Linked DNA regions of Oreochromis niloticus. The protein of the gene in region 1 binds, or shares a complex with, the protein of each later gene. Links are inferred from orthologs where the notes say so. Each region holds a gene or a part of one and is shown in the gene's direction. Other genes may lie near its edges.

What was found.
Region 2: the proteins of bckdha (region 1) and bckdhb are in contact, whole or in part, in a crystal structure (PDB 1V16), measured with the Homo sapiens proteins. The link is inferred for Oreochromis niloticus from reciprocal best matches to the Homo sapiens genes BCKDHA and BCKDHB. Residues at the interface, in NP_000700.1 of Homo sapiens: Phe155, Leu185, Gly186, Lys187, Arg189, Gln190, Gly196, Cys197, Lys198, Phe202, Val203, Thr204, Ser206, Pro208, Thr211, Pro214, Gln215, Val217, Gly218, Ala219, Tyr221, Ala222, Arg225, Gly244, Asp245, Ala248, Asn251, Phe252, Thr255, Leu256; in NP_000047.1 of Homo sapiens: Pro89, Thr90, Val92, Asp117, Arg118, Phe120, Asn121, Thr122, Pro123, Cys125, Gln127, Gly128, Ile129, Gly131, Phe132, Ile134, Gly135, Ile136, Val138, Thr139, Asp158, Gln159, Asn162, Glu163, Ala165, Tyr167, Arg168, Tyr169, Arg170, Ser171.

What each region holds. Positions count from the first base shown.
Region 1 is NC_031979.2:33,448,611-33,456,648, reverse strand, and holds the start of bckdha (2-oxoisovalerate dehydrogenase subunit alpha, mitochondrial), read left to right. Parts: upstream 1-4,954; 5' UTR 4,955-5,140; coding exon 5,141-5,254; intron 5,255-6,862; coding exon 6,863-7,039; intron 7,040-7,146; coding exon 7,147-7,233; intron 7,234-7,842; coding exon 7,843-7,951; intron 7,952-8,038. Other genes in the region: exosc5 (exosome complex component RRP46), read right to left, coding at 201-341, 450-571, 788-901, 3,285-3,420. UniProt on the Homo sapiens protein: Together with BCKDHB forms the heterotetrameric E1 subunit of the mitochondrial branched-chain alpha-ketoacid dehydrogenase (BCKD) complex.
Region 2 is NC_031976.2:14,228,084-14,235,546, forward strand, and holds the start of bckdhb (2-oxoisovalerate dehydrogenase subunit beta, mitochondrial), read left to right. Parts: upstream 1-4,372; 5' UTR 4,373-4,423; coding exon 4,424-4,601; intron 4,602-6,420; coding exon 6,421-6,498; intron 6,499-6,689; coding exon 6,690-6,758; intron 6,759-7,463. Other genes in the region: dual specificity protein kinase Ttk, read left to right, coding at 1-14, 97-165. UniProt on the Homo sapiens protein: Together with BCKDHA forms the heterotetrameric E1 subunit of the mitochondrial branched-chain alpha-ketoacid dehydrogenase (BCKD) complex.

The sequences.
Region 1 (8,038 bases):
AGATATTTCAAAGGATTGAACTTCCTGATAGAAAAGAGAGTTTTAGTGGTATGGCCCACTTAATATCAAAGTGGGATGAAAAAGATCTACATTTTCTGTGACATTTGTTTGAGAAGTTCTTAGGAAATTTGGCAAAAGCCACTTTCAGAGTGTTTTGGGATCAATTTGGTCACCCAACATTATAAAAGCCTTAGATTTACCTTTTCCTGAGCTGCAGTGGGATCTGTGATGATTTGCCCATCTGTGCTGATGGCACAAGTCACTCCACAGAAGAGGCAACTCATGGGCAATCCTGCATCCATAAGAGCCATACATGCAGCATTCAAACAGCAAGACAGCAGCTGAGGAACAGGTAAGGAAGAACACTCACAGGAAACATCTCAATTTTAGAACCCTACTTGCAGATTGGATATAAACCCCAAAGCTTGCAGAGTTTTACAGAAGGATACTGAACCATCATCATGCAGGACCTGAAGAATGAGAGTGAGCGAGGAGCGTGGATGGAGCGTCAGGAGCAGAGAAGCCTCACAGGTTTCTCGCACACACTGCTCTTGTGATCGTTCCCTTACACCTACAAAACAAACAAATCGAGGTATAAAAAAACTTAATGTGAGCAGAAAGCTCACGTACCCCACCCTGTGGTGAGCTGTGGTATAGCAGCTTTTTCCACAGCAGAAACCTCTGAAACATTCTTGTAGATATCAGGATGCAAAAAGTCTATTTCCCTAAAATAAAATAAGCAACGCTGCATAATGAAATTTTTTACCCCTTAAAAAGAAAAACTCACTTGGCAACCCCACTTTGGGCTGTACCAACACCTCCAGGGTCGCCCGGTCATAGATCTCCTTGCTGACTTTGACCTCAGCTGGTCCGTACACTCCAGCCATCACACTCGTGTCTCCTTCAAACAAGAACAAAAAGGAGCATTTTTCAATAAATAACACTGGAGCATTAATGATGTCTTTCCCCACATAAACAGACATCTAGGAGGGGAAAAGCAGTAACATCAAATCATTGAAAGCAGTACGACACCCAGTAAATATGCTCACAGCACATGTAGTTTTTAAAGAGGGGACTCAAACGCAGACACCCTATTTAGAACAAGCTTTTAATAAGAGAACTAAAGCTGATGTCACAAAGTCTCATCATGTAAATTTCACATTTATTCTTAAGACATTTTTTAAAGACACTGAATCAGCCCATCCATCCATTTCTGCTTATCATTATCAGCTATCATAGGGCGAGAGGCGGGGTACACAGGGTGCTGGGCTCATCTCTGAATCATTCTGGAGTAATAATCTGAATATTAAAGGTAAAAGTATAAACACAAATTACAGAAGGATACTGAGTCATCCCCATGCCCATGCCCTGAACCTTGGTCTTATTGTCCACATAGGTGTTACATTCTGTGACAGACATTATATATGTTTAAAATACATCAAATGCAGTAAGTATACACATTTCATATAAACATAGTCTGTAACTTTCTTATTTTCTTTAGCCCAAATAATTAAACATTTCAGTTACATAAAACATGTACATTTTGATTTGATGTACTGTATAGCCTATATAATAAATAGGCATTTGGCCATTAAGTATAAAATACATAGAGGTACAAGACATGAGATGGTTCAGTTAGAAGTTCAGTTCGGTTAGTTTCACACTCTTTTTAAAATTAGAAATAATCAAATTGTTACAGGCTTTAATTTACACAAATTGCCAGAAGTCTGCACTGTCATGAAAAAGTTTTCACCACAATTTTTCATGATTTATTAGGTTAACCCTCTGATGTCCAGGATATTATTGGCCATTTTTGACTACTTACTAATTTTACCTTTACATTTCACCTTTAAAAACTATTTGCCTTGTCTTGTTTGGTATCATTCTTTTCAGCACAATCTCACATGTCTGAATTTACATCCCCAAAAAAATCTGAGCAGGAAAAAGGTTTTACTGTAAAAAACAAAAAACAAAACAAATAAAACGCCAAAATGTTTCAGAATTGCAAATATAAATTGTAAATTTTAAAAACGCCTGCACAAATCTTGCAAAGAATAAAGATACATGCAACTATTTACCTAATAATGCAGCCAATGCCTCAGACATTTTTGTACAACTACTAAAACTATAATTACAGAACAGGTGTCACAATAAGATGCCACACAAATTATTTGTGCCACTCCAAAAGAAAGTTTCTGTCCACCACAAGAAAGAGGAGCACATCACAGACCTGAAACCTGCAGGTCTAACAACAGTATGCGTATCACTGTTTTTCACCTGGAGACAGCGTTTACGCTGCAATCTGCCTTTGATGGCTTTTGGCAGCAACTGTGACAATCACTAGTGTCCTCATTGTTTTGACACATAAAAACAAAACAAAGAACTACACAACACACTAACTTTACATTAACTACACACTCCAAACACGTTAAATGTCACAAATCTCTCACATCCAATGACTGTAGAATTGCTCTCCCCTTTTCCCCAAAACACAAATGTCACATGTTGCCAGATAATTTTTTTTGATTGGTCAATATGGTACATTTTTCCACCAATAGGAAAGTGGTGGGTTTTTTTCGCGCTGTTATTAGAAAATGCAGTTTTTTAACTTTTCTTGGTACATAGTTTGAACTTTCAACAAAAATGAAAATTAAATGGAGACTGCATCTTGTTGCTATGTCATCTTAAATTGGTCATGTGACTTGGAAGCCTCCAGAGAAGTGTTGAAATCTGAAATGTCCATGGTGTTGATTCAAAATGTGCACAGTAGATCCGCCCCTGGAGGGCGGTTAACACTATGCAATAAATGTATTTTATTTTATTAATTAGTTGTAGCTAGGCTCAAAGTTAATGCTACCTTATTTTAATAAACAACATTGTCATATACAAAGGTAAGATGGCACATGCCACCCCATGCCACCCCATACCACCACAATAGATGCGCTCCTGATTCTCATCGTTACATTATTTTGACAAATAGTTCAATATTTCTTATATTACATTTGCATAATCACATCGAAGCATGTTAAAACCCCGAGATATAAATATGTATAAATAAGATTACCAGTTTTGCGAAAAGGTAAATATTATGCCTGATTAACAATACCCCCCCAGCATGTTTTACTTTTATTCTTATTCATAAAGGTAAAGAAAGTCATGTCAGTAACTGAAGTGGCAGGTTAATTTCCAGAGATGTTCCCTAACCTTTCTCCGTCTTTTAAGTCCAGTTTAGCGGTAAGAGGCAAATAAACGCCCAGATAAATAGTTTCTAAAATTAGTGTTACCTTGGACGAAGGAAGCAGAGCCATCAGGTCGAGACAGCAAGCTCTGTTCACAACCAAACTCTCTCAAAGAAACAGTCAGGGAGCCGCAGACCTCCATCGTGGAGAAAGCAGATTTGTCGCAGGCGGATGGCGTCATCTGTTTTCCCTGTAGTTTACGCTCCTTACTGATGACATCAGAATGAGAAAGAAATGTTAGCTTTAATAAATAGTTAATTCACAAGAAATGTGGATCTGTAATATATATCTATGACAACGAAGAAAAAAATAATATTTTTTCATCATAATTCACGTTTTCCTGACGCAATCTGAAGCCCTACTTTGCCTTAATACGTTTAATGTATTTTGAAAGTACCGGAAGTGCAGCATCCGTATAATAGTGTAAACTGTGAGTTTAACAATGTGTAGTTACTCACAATGACCGCCAGATGGCAGGCAGCAGCTGCATTTAAACACAACGGTGTCAACCTATCATTTTCTTCTCTTTTTTTTTTTTCATTATTCGTCATAACCACCCACCGGAATTTTATCTACATCAGTTTATTTACTGCTTTCCACAGGTGAGCTTTCACTGGCATGATGTGAATTGCAATCACCATGTTGCAGCTCGCGCTATCACCACTAGATGGCGATAAATACTCGTGGCTGCAAAAATTGATTTATCTGCAGTCTGCATTTACAACATCAGTTAGCTCAGAACTGAAGCGAAGACATTTTCAGATTTTGACAAGTAGTTGAAATACTTTATTTTAATATGTCAACGCCTCTACCTGCGATATTACTTGGTTTATCATCGGGACTGGAAGTAATAATATTCTTTACTGTGCATGCCACTGACGTTGCTTTTGCTATTAATGCACTACTGCACTGTGACCACAAGATGGCAGCAGAGTAGGGTTTAATTTTTGGTAGGGTTGAAAGGACGTAGAAATCGTTCTTTTATGACTGTATTTAAGAACACTTGTGTTCATCAGTTTTTCCATACTGCTTACGGCTCTATCCTCCCTTCTCTCTTTTTCTTTCTTTCCTATTGCATATCTGCCCCTGACTCTCTAACTTAGGTATAACTGACATCTCAGGTAGAGTTCGTTAGAGGAACGCTGTTTTATTACAAACTGTTTCAGGCATGTTACAGCTGATCTGTATGTCCAAAAAGACACATGCGCAATTTTTCATTCATTTTTTTTTTTTTACTTTTACTTCTTTTTGTAAGATGTATTATATATCACATTGTAATAACTGTCGTTTGTTGTTAATGTGACTGCGTTGCTGTGTCTGAGCAGGCAATGTGTCTTAAAATAGGCAATACTGATTTTGATAAGTTAAAATCGCCCCAAAAAGGCCACCGGAAAACGACCAAGGCGCTTCGTGACGCATATAACATAGTGACAGTATTTTAATTAACAGGTCAGTATCACACAATGGACTTTCATCAGGTTAATTCCCCGACTGGGAGGGGGAGCTTTAATTCATAAAACTGGCACTCTGCCTTTCTGGAAAACCCACGCATTATTTATTTATTTATTTATTTATTTATTATTGCTATTCTAACACAAAAGAGTGTTAAATCTCGACATCTTTAATCGCTCATTTCTTCAACTTATGAAATATGTAAAAACGGACAACTAAACTTAAGGTTTTATTTTGAAGGCCTGGCCGGATGTTGAGGATACTGTAGCCGGCTTTAATGGTGCAGTCAGTTTGCGGCTATCGGCCTGTAAACTGTGGATGTAAACAGGAAGGACAGCGAGCGGTGGTTATTAGCAGTTCCGTTGGCCAGATTTTTACATATCCACCACAGTGTAACTTCTCTAAACCGGTGTGCAGCGGCGGTTAAATCAAACAACTACTGAGTGCCGATGGCGGCTGTGAGCAGCATGAGCAAAATGTATGGGCTCTGTTTCCACGCTGTCCGCCAGACAGCAGGACTGAAGGCATCTCGACTGCTGCAGCGCAGAGGCTTCAGGGTCACTGTAAGTGAAAACTCCGATGCAGTGTTTGGATAGGGCGATGAATAAATTATGGGAAAAGTCGCTCCTGCGGAGTCTGGACTGGAGATAACGCTGCCATTGAGGGGCCGGGAAACATTTTTTATTTCACCATTCATTAACCGCACAGTTTTCTTTAAGCAAACAGTATTATTATAGTTCTTCATGATTGGGCCAAGTGTCCTCTTTTTTGGAATTCGAAATATTGTCACCCTATCTTTTAATAAGTTTTGGGGTTATGTCTTGTTTGCGCAAAGATTCTGGTTAGCTACGGAGCTGCTAGCATGGCTAACAACCTTGCTGAAATTCTATACCGATTCTCCAATGTATCAGTGAAAAGTCAAACTAACTCTCACATATTTAGTGAATACATGTTTGATCTTTAATAAACAACTTTAGTTGCAATAAATACTAATTTTAATTTTTGTTGTTTTGACTCTCACACTTGACTAGTTAGCCAACCGGCTAAAGGCTTAGCTAGCTTCTTTTCCATTGGTCGAACCAAGGGGCGTGAAGGAGGAAATAGAATAGAATAGAATTCAACTTTATTGTCATTGCACATGTCACAGGTACAGGGCAACGAAATGCAGTTTGCATCCAAACTGCATTAAGCTTAAATCCGATGTCCTCGAATGCATCATTTTTTCAAAACAACTTTATTTAATAACTGTTGCTGCTCTATGGCCTTCGCTGCTATTTTATTTCCTTCGATCGCTCCAGCACTTAAATCTGTATGTAACTCTTTAAAAATAATCTAATTTATTTATTTATAGGTCCATCAATAATCATTTGGAGTGTCTAAAATCTGTATGGGAGGGAGATTTGGAAATGGTTGTTATAGTGGAGCAATGGAACTGCACTGTAAGAAGTACATACTTATTCATGATTTATAAGAGTATTGTATTGTCTTCAGCTTTCTGAAGTTAAGCTTTCTAAAATGTCTAAAGATTCAACGAGTGTTATTGTAGTTAACTAAAACAAAACTAAAAGCTTAAACTAGATGTTAAAAAGGTTACCTAAAATTAGAAACTAGCCTTTTGAAAAAAATAAAACTAAAACTAATAATCAATCAATGAAACTTAATTTTTAATTCCATTTTTATGCAGTTTATTAATTCAGTTCAAAGTGCTGGTGGACAAACCCGTGGGGGGGGAAAAGAGCAAAATACAACGAAGCAACACAAATACAAAAAATATTATTAACAAAATAAATTCAGGTAAGTTGTTTGTGCACACCTCTCATAAGGTCCTACCACAGAATCTCAGTCAGGTTAAAGGTCACTGGGACGTTGGAACACCTTTTTTTCAGCTATCCTGCTGTAGATTTGCTGCTCTGCTTAGTATTATCCAGTTGCATGACCCAGTGGTTGTCAGACACATGGCCTCACATTTGACTCTAGAATACTTTGGTATACAGAAGAGTTCACGGCTGTGTGGCTGCAAAAAAAGCTCAAATCACCCCTCCACCACCGTGCTTGACAGTTTGTATGAGTTTTGTGACCTGATATGCAGTGTTTTCTTTTCCTAGAGCCTTTTTTTTGCCACAGCCACAATGAGATTCTTAATAAATAATGATTGTAATCAATCTTTTCAGGTTGTTCAGCTGCAGCAGCCCTTTGACTCATCGCTGGAAAAGCCCCAGTTTCCAGGAGCCTCAGCCGAGTTTGTGGATCAGCTCGAGTTCATCCAGCCCAATGTCATTTCTGGGATCCCAGTGTACCGGGTGATGGACAGGCAGGGAAATATCATCAACCCCTCTCAAGACCCTCAGGTACAATCAGCCTGCCTGTGCTCCTGGTTCCCAAATGTGCCCCTAAGACCTCTGCAGTCTGTTGAGCCAAAGTTAATTTGTCAATTGTGTGTTTCTCTCCAACACAGCTCTCCAAAGAGACAGTTTTGAACTTTTATCAGAAGATGACCCTGCTGAACACAATGGACCGCATTCTTTATGAGTCTCAAAGACAGGTATGTTTCCTCCTGCATCTCCTGGCTCAACCTGATTATTTAAAACACAACACCAGCAGTTTTTGAACTTTAAAAATTGGTGTCTCAAAGGGTATTTTCTTTATCCATTCATTCATTCATTCATTTCCGCCTATCCACTGTTTTAGGGCGAGAGGCAGGGTACACCCTGGACAGGTCGCCAGTCTGCTGCAGGACTCCTTTATATTAACTATAATTTAAAATTAAAAATGAATACATAAAAATGAGGAGTTCTGGAGGACACAGGACTAGGGAGTGTTTTTGACTGAAAGGCCAACTGTTGCTGATTACTGAACGAAATCCAGCGAGAGCCCTTCAGTGATCCTGTGACACAAGCAGGTAGTTTTATTTCCTCCAGATCTTTTAGTCATCTTGGCTTGAGCTGAACTAAACAGCAAGTGATTTTTAGTTTTTATGAAGGGAGAACACCAAACAGTTGTAAAAGACAGAGGTGCACTTGATTTATAACAGCAAAACACAAAGGTTTCAGGTAAAATTAATGGAAAAAGTAAATATTTTTTCGCCACTTACTTTGTTTTCATAATACTTGAGATTACAGTCTGATTAACCGCCCAGCCCTGTCCGTTACAGGGTCGCATCTCCTTCTACATGACTAACTATGGTGAGGAGGGGACACACATCGGCAGTGCTGCTGCTCTGGATCCAAACGATCTGGTTTTTGGGCAATACAGAGAAGCTGGTAAGAATGAAATGTGGCTTTGTTTGGTCTGTGGTTATTGTTCATATGAATATTTTAATTGTAATCAAAACAGTTTGCCACTTCAGT
Region 2 (7,463 bases), on another chromosome or scaffold:
TCCGAGCTGCTAATGTAAGATTAACCTCCCAAAATTTCTTCTCAGACTTCTTAAACAAGTTTCTGAAGCACTAACTTTGCTCTCTCATCGTCACAGAATTTGGCAAGAATGTGCAGCAGTGGCAAGAAGCTGGATGTTGCAGAGTGTGCAAAGTCATCATCTTAACTACCCTGGAATATGTGATGTGGCTGTTTCTACTTTTGTTCTTCTAAACCGCTCGTAACCACTAAAGTTTTCCTTTTTTGTAAGATAAAGCAATCTGTGTTTTTCTTGAAACAAAATATCGCATCGTTTCATTTTTACTCATATTAGTAAATAAAAGCACAAGCCAATTAGCCATCATTAAAACTACTTGTTTAGTATTGTGTGGTTTAAACCACCAAAAAACAAAAAAACAAAAGCTGTGACCTGTAGTGACATTGATGCCAGACATTTGGCAGTGGCTCATTTGGATCCTGTCAGCACAGTATGGGCTTTCAGTCCCATGGAAATTGACTGGCTTGTTCCAGTGCATCCTGTGAATGCTGTTTCAGATTGGGATCTGGAGAGATCAGGAAAAAACTTTGTGTATGTGTGTTCTTGAACCCTTCCTGAGCAGTTTCAGGGAGTGCTGTTGCCATTACAGGATGTGCTTGCTTCTGTGCTCTGCAACAGAATTTATGTGGGTAGTACCTTTCAGAAATCCACACGAATGGTAGAACCTGTAAGTGTTACTCACTTATCCTTGTTTTAATGTTTTGGCTTATCAGTTTGTGCAGTATAGTATAACCCAATAAACATACTGTATTGTACCATAAGAGTCTGTGCTTTGTTTATTTCAGTTAACATGAAGGAACTTTAAGTTGAATATTGCGTATGTTTTTTTTGTTTGTTTTTTCTGGAACTTTTTTTTTTTAAATTTTCAAAGCAGTTTTTCACATGATTTGTCAGTTTACAATTACCAGTTAAACCTAACGTGCACAGAACATGCTACATGAAGGAGCCAGAAGCTTCTTCCTGTGAGAGCAGCAACAAAGTCAAGTTGTAATACAAATGCTTTACACACAAATATGTAAAAAATACTTTTACATTTTTACCTGTTTTGTAACAGTCTTACATGTCCCAGAAGTGGCCCGTATGTGCTAGTCAATACTTCAAAGAACAACCATTGTATAACAAATACAATGGTTGTTCTTGATGAGTCTGCCTGTATCAACCCTACACCATGAGGCAAGTAACAAGAGTCTGAAGGTCTGCTTTTACTGGGAGGTAAAAACCTCAGGCCTCAACTCCTCCACAAAGAGGAGGGAAGACAGTGGCACATTGCAGCTCCTAAGTGCAAACGGGTATAGGGGAAGGCATGAGGAAAATCCCAATGAGTTTCTGGTCTCAGCTACAGGGAGTCTGCACTCTCAACCCCAGGTGCAAAGTCCTTTCTATATGCCTGTGCCTCCTCTGTAAACACAAGATCATGGGAGACCTTTTGGGTACCCAGTGTGGGCTGTGAATCCAGACCAGTTTGCTGCAGGACTGTAAAACTTTAAAACTTTTGCATCTGGCAAGGTTGTCATGCCCTCTGTAGTATCTTTTGCCAGAGCTTATGTGTATGTATTTGGCATGTATGTACTTGGGGTTTTTAGTGTTTGGTAGGACAAGAAATGTCCAAGATTCATTTTTCTTGTGTCATTCTAACTAATGACATAATTAGCTACTTGAAACATATTTATCAGCATCTATATATTGATATTTGTTTTCAATTAAGGTTGTAATGTTCCTGTCATGTTTGCAAAGAAATGGGAGCAACAAGCTCAAAAACCCACCCAGGACAGCATGAATAAATTCATCAGAATGGATTTTAAGATTTTAAGAAATGATATTTTTCTTGCCTCTTAATAAGGTATAATGTAAGTGGTTATTGACTGAGACTTGGGGAAACAACCATAGCGATGGAAGTCACACACTCACGAGAGAGATTCATATATTTTGTACCTTTGGAGTACATACGATTTTGTGAGAGACATCTTGAGATTTTTACTTTCTTAGTGGAAGGGGAAACATTGGTGTAAAAGGCGTACTCTGAAAATGTGGACTTGAATTCATTAACAACCAGCTGCAGTACTCTGGACAGCTTCACGGGTACCAATCGACGTACGGTAAATGCAGGGGGGAAAAGTATTTCTCAGGATCTCGCAAAAGTACGTGCACCACGCCCCCCTTCAAAATGTCTCTTGCGTGGCTCCGTACCGTAGGCAACAGCGTCACCGATCACTTGTGTGTGTGTGTGTGTGTGTGTGTGTGGGGGGGGGACACTTTACCGAAACAGGTAGACAGCAACATGACATTAACAGTTACAGAAGAACACGTCTACAGTAAAATGCATACATAAATAAATATAAATAAAGTCATCATGAAAATACCACGAGTTGTTGATTAAAAATATATAATAATATATGAAATATATATGAATATATAAAATACGAAATAAAAATGAATTACATTACAGGGAAATCAAACACTGTTAGGGCCTTTGGTGATTTCTTATTTTTCAACTTAACCCGCTTGTCTGTTTTCTCCAGTCCGGTCAGAAATTTGACCACTGTTGGGTCTCGGCGTGACTCGTGATTTAGACACCTGTAAGTACTGCGCACGCCGCCCTCCCTTTGGACCAATCACGGCCTTTATGTCACTTGCTGAGGCTGAGGCAGGAAGAAAAGAAGAGCTCTCACTCCGTCACTATTCCCAGAAATCACAAAGAGCGGGGTCTCTCCCACTCGTATTATAATGATTACAGCAGTAGCTTCTAAAACAGGGGTCTTGAACTCCAGTCCTCGAGGGCCGGTGTCCTGAAACTTTTCCATGTGTCCCTGTTGCAACACACCTAATTACAATTAGTAGTTCATTAGCAAGACTCCATAGAACTCCAGAAACCTTGGAGTCATTTTTGACCAGGACATGTCCTTCAACGCACATATTAAACAAATATGTAAGACTGCTTTCTTCCATTTGCGCAACATCTCTAAAATTAGAAATATCCTGTCTCAGAGTGATGCTGAAAAACTAGTTCATGCATTTATTACTTCCAGGCTGGACTACTGTAATTCATTATTATCAGGAAGTCCTAAAAACTCGCTGAAAAGCCTTCAGCTAATCCAAAATGCTGCAGCAAGAGTCCTGACAGGGACTAGAAAGAGAGAGCATATTTCTCCTGTTTTGGCTTCCCTTCATTGGCTTCCTGTTAAATCCAGAATTGAATTCAAAATCCTGCTCCTCACACACAAGGTCTTAAATAATCAGGCCCCATCTTATCTTAATGACCTTGTAGTACCATATCACCCTATTAGAGCACTTCGCTCTTGCACTGCAGGCCTACTTGTTGTTCCTAGAGTATTTAAAAGTAGAATGGGAGGCAGAGCCTTCAGTTTTCAGGCCCCTCTTCTGTGGAACCAACTTCCAGTTTGGATTCGGGAGACAGACACTATCTCTACTTTCAAGATTAGGCTTAAAACTTTCCTTTTTGCTAAAGCATATAGTTAGGGCTGGACCAGGTGACCCTGAATCCTCCCTTAGTTATGCTGCAATAGACGTAGGCTGCCGGGGATTCCCATGATGCATTGAGTTTTTCCCTTCCAGTCACCTTTCTCACTCACTATGTGCTAATAGACCTCTCTGCATCGAATCATATCTGTTATTAATCTCTGTCTCTCTTCCACAGCATGTCTTTCATCCTGTTTTCCTTCTTTCACCCCAACCGGTCGCAGCAGATGGCCGCCCCTCCCTGAGCCTGGTTCTGCCGGAGGTTTCTTCCTGTTAAAAGGGAGTTTTTCCTTCCCACTGTCGCCAAAGTGCTTGCTCATAGGGGGTCATATGATTGTTGGGTTTTTCTCTGTATTTATTATTGTGCTATCTACTGTACAATATAAAGCGCCTTGAGGCGACTTTTGTTGTGATTTGGCGCTATATAAATAAAATTGAATTGAATTGAATTGAACATAACTGCATGCTGAGGTGGCAATTCAGCCAGATTCATGTTACAGATGCTCGTGAGTGAATGAACACGGTGCAATAAAAGTAAATTTTTCCAAACACTTACATTTACTTAAATTTACTTGAGTAAGGTTAGGGGTTGCCACTTCAACATGCAGTTAAGTTCTATACTAATTTCATTCAGGTGTGTTGCAACAAGGACACATGGAAAAGTTTCAGGACACCGGCCCTCGGGCACTGGAGTTCGAGACCCCTGTTCTAAAACGTTAACACAGAAATATTTGTTTTTCAATAAGCTGGCATGAAATCTCTCCGCATTGTTTATTGAAGCTTTGGGAAAAGTCTCCGAAGTTGATCGGGAGTGAAACAATTCCCTCCGCTGGGATTGGGAGCTAGCTCTAATAGACGATCTTTGGTCGTAGGTTCCTCTTGCCCTTCCTGTTCACTCACAACAACAGTGATGGCGGCTGCTGCTCGGCTCTTCATTCGAGGTGCAAACTCGAAACTTTCCATCGCCCCCAGCTCTTTAGGGGTCACGCTGCTAAAACTGTCGCCGAACTGCAGCTCCCGCACAAAAACACAACGAAGGCATGCGACGCACTTTACCTTCCAGCCCGACCCCGTCCCGTCTCAGTACGGTGAGTGTCTGGCTAACCGGCTAACATGGGGGAGCGGGTCGTGTTGGATACCGCTGGAATGTTCCTCAGTCCAACCGAGAAATAAGCACAGAAACGAGCTGTCACCGTGAATTACACAATGTATGGTTAAAGGAAACAGCTGCACGTGGGGTTTTTTGTTTACTTGTTAAGTCAGCACAGAGCAGTGTCGGGTACTTCCACCGCACTATCAGCACGGGCTTGCATTAAAGTGTGCTTGGAATAATAAATATTTATTTTCACACAATAGTTCGGTTATTCAGTAACAGAGCCAGATAAACTTTATTTTTATTATGACATAAGTGGGCTGGCCAGGTTAACACTAAAATGCGAGACAGAAGCTGATCATCCGTGTGGCACACTGCTAGGAGTCCACAGAAGGTAAATGGCACTGTTTGCTGTCCCAGAGCTACTTTGGCTTTTCAGACTAATCTGGCCTTTTTGTCCATGGGCATGATCACTGGTTTGTACTGCTGTATTTGCTCTTAGGAAGACTAAATAGCCATGAAAACAGGCTTAGATAACGGTATACTTACCACCTTCATCTTTACTTTTCCATTGTTGTGAAGCTGTCCTCATCATGGAAAAGATCCTTCTGTATTATCATTTCCTCTGTGGACGGCCAGGCTCACCAGTGTGTTGTTGGTGTTTTTTTTTTTTTTAATTATTATTATCATTATTTTATTTTAGAATAAACCAAAATGGTGATTTGGTCATTTTATGTTTAATGTAGTCTCTTTGTTTTGGCCCCCCAAAGGATGCTCTGTTTCACTTACACTTACTTAAAAGCTCCTGCATCTTGTGGGTTCATAGCCACAGCGTCCATACGACTTCTTGCAATCAGGTCCAGTCTTTTTACCTGGTTAATGAATGCTGAAATAAAAAAGCAATAGCACACATCATTGCATAACACAGCCCTTGACTTATTTGTCGCTGGACAGGCGAAAGATTCCTGGTTTGATTCTGGGAGGAGACGCTGTCTCTTGGCTCAGGAAGGGTATCTGGTGTAAAACTGAGAAAATGAAACATTCAAAGCTACCTGCTGTGAATAAGGAAGTAGCTAAAAATGTATTCATCTTTTCCTTGTAGTGTGATCTAATTCCAGGCTCTAAGCTGATTCTATAATATACTCTTACTCGATCCAGAATCACAACACGGTACTAAAAATTATAGGTGGGAATCACCTGACACCCCTCAATACAGTATTATCACAATATTTTAATCTGATGTTAATGTGAATTTTTTTTAACATGTTGCAATAAGCTCAAAACATAAAGTGCAATTTCACATTGTTTCAACTGCAAATTATGTTCTCAGAGTTAAACTCTTAAACTTTGCAATTCAATGAGGTCAAGCTGGCAATACAGCAATATAATACAGCAATTAACTACTATAAATCCTTATAAATCACATATCTGTTGTTGTCTGTATAGACAGAAGGTCGAATTTAACTACTCCATTTGTGCTTTCCTGTTCTGTAGGAATACAACCAAAATACAACCAGCTGGTAGCCAGTTGGCTCGAGTCCTTTCGAGTTGTGCTCATTGATAAACATTCATTCAGATTGATGGCAACATGGTGGCAGTCTGTCTGCGTTTATAAATTAAACAGCATTTATTTGCAAACCTTCGACAACCTCTCTGAGAATGATTGCAGTTGGTTCGAGTCAGACTGCAACTGTTCTGTTGAGGCCTAGTCGTGTTCAACAGTCCAAATGCAGAGTGCACAAAAACCATTAAGATATTTGCATTTTTTATGTGTGAAGTTCTTCATTTTTTTAATTTAATTGGTTCACCTAAAGGTCCTACCCAGAAGATGAACTTGTTCCAGTCCATTACGAGTGCCTTGGACAACACTCTGGCCAGCGATCCTACCGCAGGTAAAAAGCAAGCAGACACACTCTGTAAACCTCCAGGCTGCCTAACAATCATGAAAGTATGAATCAAGCTGTCCAAGACACCAGTTATTGGAAATCTAAAAAATTCAAAGTGGCTTAATCGAAAGAGTTTTCAGTATTTTTCACTCTTGCATACTTGAGCACTCATGTTGCTGACTGTTGTTTCTCTGCAGTCATCTTTGGGGAAGATGTCGCCTTTGGTGGAGTGTTCCGATGCACAGTGGGGCTGAGGGACAAATATGGTAAGATGCTGCTTTCTAGTTTAACGCTGGCTTTAAAACAAATGAGATTTACCTGATTTGAGCGACGCATACCAATGCACGGCATCAAAAAAAATCATAACATTTTTTTTTTTTCTTTTTTCAAAGTTGTTCTTGGTTGGTATAAGGTGACCAGGAACATAATTTTGAGCTGTCTTAAGTCAGCCTTTTTCCTCATTGACGTTTGCTTGTTTTGGCAAGGAAACCAGTGAAGTTCAGGCAGCTGAACAATGGGTGCTCTGTCCTTGTTCCCTTAGTCAGCATTGTGAAGTATTGAGTAACCGTTCTTTTTCTCTCTGTTTCTACTCCATTGTTTAAAGGTTTTTCACCTTGACAATTACAATCACGAGCATCATGGAAAATCATCTCAAAAAGAACCCTGTTGTAGTCTTGGAAATAGTGCAAAGTCCGCTAAATCTTACACTCTGTGACTAAAGACTGGGTTGTATGGTAGACATTAACAATCCCTCTCAAAAGTGACACCTGAATAGTTGGAAGAAAAAAAAAATTGTTAGGAACCTGTAGTCTGTGTAATTTTCGCCACTAGATGGCAGCAAAACACTGCTGAGAATCTCACCACCCACTGCTCTTCGGAGGGGCCTGTTACTGCCGAGCGTTCACCCAGAGGACCAGCATGATCTACTGGCACACGTGTCAGTCGTTGTAGGGGAAGCCTTACGAGCTGAT